Saccharomyces cerevisiae S288C: one gene and its partner. The protein of the gene in region 2 binds, or shares a complex with, the protein of the main gene of each other region. Each region holds a gene or a part of one and is shown on either strand. Other genes may lie near its edges.

Region 1 (3,272 bases), on a different chromosome or scaffold from region 2:
AGGCCTGACCTTGGCGCAATACGACCGTAGGTACCAACAGGTACGGTGAACGATATGTCGGTGGAAACCATACCTTGACCCATAGCCGGAATGGTAATATCCTGAGATGCATAAATGTCGTATCCCGCGGCAGTGGCAGAACCTTTGGTAGGTACAGTAGCGCTTGCTGAGCGCAATTGAATCTTTAGTACTTTGTCGCTAGTAGCAGTCATTTGGTTATTTTTTGGCTCGCTGTATCAGTGCAAACATCTCATTCGAGAACTTAGTTGTTTCTACTTATTAAATGGTAGCGCGTAATATTTTTCCTTTTATAATTTTCAATGGTAGTAAATCAGAAATTATGGAAAAAAAATAAAACTTGGACAGAAAAAAATATTGCTATGAAGAAAAATTGAATATGCTTATCAGCTCATTTGATTGAGTATGTTGAGATATTTACAGGTATTATTATTGCTGTATTTACTTATGTAAAACGAGAGATAATGGTGCGTGTGTATGTACATAGTATTTCAGCTTGAATAGTAAACTTTCCTGACATCAACAAGCTTTTTGCCTCTACCCAGGGCAACCTCATCCAATGTCTTTTGAGCTTTCGTGAAAGCCTCGATGGTACCTTTAGCTATATTCATATCGTTTCTGGATTTATATACTTTCCCACTCAGATCTTTGATACCTGCACATTCACAAATCTCAAAGATTACATGGTTTACACGTAATCCAAACCCTGGTTTTGCACTTCTTAAATGTAGTTTCACACCATGATACCTAAAATCTATATCACCATAAATAGTTCTGTTTTCATACCTAGGTATTTCCTTCAGGTTCCTTACCGCATCCCAATGAGCTTTAAAGATCGCTTTGGACATTTCTTCACGAGATTTACCTTCTCCCAAACCTACCATACCGTTTTTGTCACCAACGACAACCAAGGCATAGAAAGACGCAATTTTACCCTTCCCAGTCTGATTTGACACTCTTTTCATCACCAGCGGCTTCATAGTCAACTTTCTAGTGATATAATCCGGATCTACACCGGTTTGCTTGTGTAGCCCTGCAGCTACATCGGCGCTTTTCGATTTCCGACCACCATCGTTTGGTAAGCTGACTCCTGGAGGCAGAATGTTACCTTCGCCTGGTAATGGTTGTTGTACCTGGTCCCATCTAAAGATGCTGAAGTTATTATTCTCCTCTTGAGCGTGGAGATGGGGCATGCCTGGTTTGTAATCCCAAAAAGGATGTATTTTGGTAAAATCATCCAAATATGGTGGTGCGAATTCCACGTTACGAGATACTCTGAATTTAGTATCTTCTGGTATCGTTTGTTGAGCAAGTTTTATGGATTTTAAAAGACTTTCAGGATAGTACCTTGATAATAGCGACTCATCATAATGCTGTAGATAACGAACACTAGTCGATAATTGCCTCTTGAACATCTTTACCTATTGATCTATGAAATCTGTTTCTTGTATGGTTTACCGTCTACTTTGACAACAATAACGATAGGTCTTTTAGTGGTGCTTGTATTATTGTCTTGTCAATTCGTCTTTTTTTTTTTTTCACTTTAAGGAACTTTACTCCGCGAATAAAAGAAAGCATCACCATGTAATGAAATATATGGGATACATAAATGTATGGGATACATACGACTGTTACTTGCTACCTCATTTGGAGATCACTAGCTCAGTTGTAAAACTTTTCCATTTGATTGAATAAACTCTAACCTTTTTCATACTGGTAGTAAAAGTCAAACCTACGAAAGTTCACATAATAAGGCCTTCACGCCAAGAGAGTCTAGTGTAGTGTTCTTCAGCTCCTATTGATATACTTTTAGTGCCCAAACACGGGATGTTTCAAGTAATTTTTCCTTCTCTAATTTGACAAGGGAAAATATGGCTAGTAATTCTTGTAAAAATGTCTTCTCCTCAGAGTGGGCGGTGCTTATGTATTAGAACCGGTCGAAATATCATAATATACACCGGCCAGTAGAGAACGGACATGGCGACTTGATACATAAAATGTCTATCTCGGAAGCTGATCAACTTGTGAAGTAGTATTATAGATATCAGCGTGCAAGATACTTACAAAAAGAGAGACCTGTAAATTTATTGTTACGTAAATACATAGTAGAATAAGAAACTAATAAAAAATAGTATATGTATATCATGCAAATAAAAAAAAAAAGGATAAAATAGAGGCGTTGTTCTGAGGTACCGAACATTCATAAGCTATTCTCACCTGCTACCATAGAATATAGTGGGGGTTCATCTTGTAGATCACTAATATTTTCAAATTTTTCATATTTGGGTAACAAAGAGCTGGTCGAAATATCACTATCGCCAACTAAAATTGGAAAATTCACCGTAATACGATAATTTTTTTTCATTTCAAGCCCTTCCACCAATTCATTCCTGCTATAGGTTATTCTGAACAAAAGCAAATGAGTTACTTTGAGGGCAGCATGATTGGGATAAAATGAACTTGGTTCACAGTAGAATGTTTTAAACCAGCTCGGTAGACCATCCGCATAGGTTGGGATGACAACGTCATCAAAGCAAAATCCGAAAATGGTCTTGTCGGAATCGAAACTTTGGCTTTCTACAGTTCTTAGTAAATACTCGGACTTTTTAATGTATGGCTCTCGTAGTATTTTCTTGGTCTTCAAATCAATACTTGGTATTGCCATTCTCTGTGCAACTGCCAAAGAAGCTTCCTGTAATTCAATGGAAGAATCTGTTTTGGTAATTGATAATATCATTTGGAAAGGCATACCAATTTCAATCAACTTGGAGTTTCCAATGACCGATACTACGATCTCACTTGCAGTATTGTATGACCTTAATTGAAATGTTTCAAACTTAAGCATACTCGTTGAAGGCAGGACTCTTTTAACTTTAATTTCTTCTGTTAAAATGATCTTATCTGTAAAACTTTCATTCTTCAAAAATTTGAGTAAGTTTTTAGGTTTACTTGGTATTCTCATTATTGTTGTTAAGCTTTCTATTCGAAAATGGGTCTTGCCAAAGAAGGAAGAGAAACTTGCTGGGAAAGTATTTGCTTGAAGGGTAAAAGTGAATGGGTAATCGTACGTGCCCTTTGTCAATAGAATTTTCTTATCATTTAATGAGTGGTGTATGACTCTCAACTGCTGTTTGGGGTAGGTGGAAGACTCAAAAAACTCTGTGTGATTAAGTTCTTTGATAATTTTGTCACTATAGGAGTTTTTGCTAGTTTCTGAATTTACAAAGCATGCATATTCCTTTGTGAAACATTTT
Region 2 (3,400 bases):
AACACTTTAACAGTCTCATCAGGCAACGCCTTTCCTGTTTCTTGGAATGTTTGGAAACCGGCGTAGAGATCAATAAAGTTGAAGCTTAGGCCGTGCTTGGAGTTAAGGTTTTCCAAAACTTGCTTACCAGCAGGAATGACTTCCTTACCGATACCGTCACCGGGGATAAGACCAATAGTGAGTGATTTGCGAGCAGCGTTAGATGCTAACCCACGGCAGGCAGATAATCTAGTAGCAACAGATCTAAACATCTTTTTGAGTGCGTTACTATCTTAGTTATATAAATATGTCGCACTAATATAATAATCGCATAGATACAGTCTTAGCTAATTCTAAATCAGTTAAGATGTCCTTATATAACTGTAGAACCAGTTTAGTTTCTTGTTGTTCTTTCCTCTAATTAGAGTCATCTTAAGAATATTTTTCCACGGGAAAAAAGTGAAAAAAAAAAAAAAAAAAAAAAAAAAGAGTGGGAATTTTCAGTGCAGTTGAAAAAATCGAGGTGGAATTTGAGAACGACAATTACTTAGCACTACATGTGTTGTTCTCGTTTGTTTTTAATTATATACAGGTTGGTTAGGTGACGTTGGAGAAAAGAGGCAGCCCACCTAGAAGTGGAGGTTCTCGGAAGTGGTGGATTCTTCTTCTTGCGCCGTATTCAATGTAGTGTCGTCCTTCCACGACCCTGCAGGGTTACTTGTCCTTGCTGCCATTAGTTCAGTTTCTTCAACTACCTTCTTTTCCCAGACGTCTAGGACCTCTTGTTCCTTTTGTATACCATGTTCAATGGCAGAAACTCCAAAGAGGGATCCGAACATCTCCGCTTCTTCCAAAGCCACTTGCTGCTCTGTTTCTTCTTGCATTCTCAACGCATAGAATTCATATCTGGCATGGTCATATGCTTCGACCATGTCCCCATACTGCTTCGTTTTGATTAAGTACATAGTTCGCTGGATAACACTTTCACCATCGAGTGGTCTTCCTATCTGAAGCATATGGCTCCAATCGTAGTTTTCATCACCAATTTCGTTTTCCACTAAAATCTTAGGTCTCGACAACTCCCATGGATGTTGTTTGTAAAAGAGCGATCTGAGCCTATCCTCAACGTATGTTAGTTTAGGTGGCCTGTACAGCCTTTTCACGCCCACCCTTTTGTCGCTCGAGTTGGGTCTTGTCTTGTAAAGTCCCTTATTGTTGGCATGCGGTTGTTCTGTTACGTCAACAAGTTTTCCTATGATGTGTCCATTGGAAGGATTCTTAAAACGAGGTTCACGTGTAAACTTGGTTGATGGTGGGATAGACGCTACAACGTTGTACCACGCAGGTGTTTCTTTCAACAATCCTGATTTCAAGTAAGCGGACGTCCGTTGAAGGACGTTTACAGCATTTGTTTGTATCTTCATTTCTCAGAATTCTAAGATCTTCTTCTTGAATGGTGCGCAATGTCCTTCTTCCTTTTCCAAGCTTCTAATGAGGTTATTTTCTTAGACTTTTGTGCAGTATCTAAATATTATTGGTTTTATTGCTTGTAACTTGCACTTTTCTGTAATTGCCGAAGTATCAAAGAAATTTCAACTCTCAAAGAAGATGCGCAAGAATGAAGACCAAATGAAAAATGTCATAAAAAAGCAGTATATTAGCTGTCTTGGGTTAGGGTCCTCGTTCAACAGATTCTTTTTGCTTAATGGTGCAAATGAGATCCAAAAACATGGCATACGAGTCGGGAACTAATAACTATAGTGATACAATAGCTAATGGAAATACCCTGCCGCCGCGAAGCAAGAAGGGACACAGTGGACGTAGAAAGAGGAGCGAAACTTTGCCCATAGCGTGTAATAATTTTTGTGTTACAAGACAGATTGATGACGATGAACAAGCGTTCAAAATGCTAGATAAAGTGAGTCATCTGAAAAAATTCAGTGCTGAAGACGGTGATGATAACAATATATTCGTCCAATGGGCCGATGATATTACAGATATCTTATTTGGACTATGCTGTACAGGAACGTTTTTGAAACTTCTTATAAGCTCTGCATTATCCGGCCGGGCTAAGACATGGTTTGATTCTACAACGGAGGGAATCGATGACCATGTGATAAAGGCTTACAGTTTTGAAAAATTTCTTGCTCTACTATCAGAAGAATTTGATGGAGCAAGATCTTTAAGAAGGGAAATTTTTACGGAACTATTGACGTTGTCCATTGATTCTGAGAAGTCATTAGAAGCATTTGCCCATAAATCGGGACGTCTAACTCCATATTATCTGTCTTCTGGTGCTGCGTTGGATCTATTCCTCACAAAATTGGAGCCACAGTTGCAAAAGCAACTGGAAAATTGTGCATTCCCAATGACTTTGAATTTAGCACTATTGATAACTGCCTGTGAATTTGCGAAGAGAGCATCTAATCATAAAAAATACCGGTATAAAAATACGAGGGATTCCGACATTTGTACTCCAAAGAGTAAGAATACTGCTATCGTTAGCAAATTATCGAATACTAAAACTATAAGTAAGAATAAGGTTATTGAAAAGAGTGATAAGAAAAATTACTTTGATAAGAACAGTCAACACATACCCGATCCTAAACGTCGGAAACAAAATGAACCTGGAATGCGGCTCTTTCTTGTCATGGATGAGGAAAAGAATATTCTTACATCTAGGAATGTTTCTGCCAATGCATACACATCAAAAAATGGACACACCAATTTAAGCGATCTCCATACGAATCTTAAAAACAGTAAATCTCAACAATGTGCAGTGGAGCCAATATCGATTTTGAATAGCGGCAGTTTGGTTACAGGCACAATTAATATTGACCTAATTAATGATGAAGTTTTAGGCACGAAGGAGGAAACTACAACTTATGATGAACGTATGGATGGAAACTCACGTTCTTTGAATGAGAGGTGCTGCGCCGTCAAGAAAAACTCACTACAACCTATAACATCAAATATATTTCAAAAAAACGCTGAAATTCAGGGCACAAAGATCGGGAGCGTTCTAGATAGTGGTATATCGAATAGCTTCTCCTCAACAGAGTATATGTTTCCGCCCACAAGCTCTGCGACAGTTAGTAATCCAGTAAAAAAAAATGAAATCAGCAAGAGTAGCCAGGTTAAAGATATTGCCCAGTTTAATCCGTTCATGACAAACGAAAAGGAGAAAAAGTTAAATCCATCAGAAAGCTTCAAAAGCCCTGGAGTGTCTATGGAAATAAATAGGCTAAGCCGTATCGCGGGCCTCAGAAATATTCCAGGAAACATTTACGAAGACAGCAAAATGCTTAATTTGAAAACTCGAAAGTGCTACCCACTGCATAACTTTGCTGTGCGCACGAGGAGTGCACATTTTAATGACCGTCCTTCTAATTATATATCACCGCATGAAACCATAAATGCG

What was found.
Region 1: RSM25 (region 2) and MRPS5 share a complex: the UniProt entries of both Saccharomyces cerevisiae proteins name them as parts of the mitochondrial small ribosomal subunit.

What each region holds. Positions count from the first base shown.
Region 1 is NC_001134.8:719,551-722,822, reverse strand, and holds MRPS5 (mitochondrial 37S ribosomal protein uS5m MRPS5), read right to left. Parts: upstream 1,434-3,272; coding exon 510-1,433; downstream 1-509. Other genes in the region: DUT1 (bifunctional dITP/dUTP diphosphatase), read right to left, coding at 1-212; SPO23 (Spo23p), read right to left, coding at 2,219-3,272. UniProt on the Saccharomyces cerevisiae protein: Component of the mitochondrial ribosome (mitoribosome), a dedicated translation machinery responsible for the synthesis of mitochondrial genome-encoded proteins, including at least some of the essential transmembrane subunits of the mitochondrial respiratory chain.
Region 2 is NC_001141.2:187,382-190,781, forward strand, and holds RSM25 (mitochondrial 37S ribosomal protein mS23 RSM25), read right to left. Parts: upstream 1,404-3,400; coding exon 609-1,403; downstream 1-608. Other genes in the region: LYS12 (homoisocitrate dehydrogenase), read right to left, coding at 1-251; YIL092W (uncharacterized protein), read left to right, coding at 1,685-3,400. UniProt on the Saccharomyces cerevisiae protein: Component of the mitochondrial ribosome (mitoribosome), a dedicated translation machinery responsible for the synthesis of mitochondrial genome-encoded proteins, including at least some of the essential transmembrane subunits of the mitochondrial respiratory chain.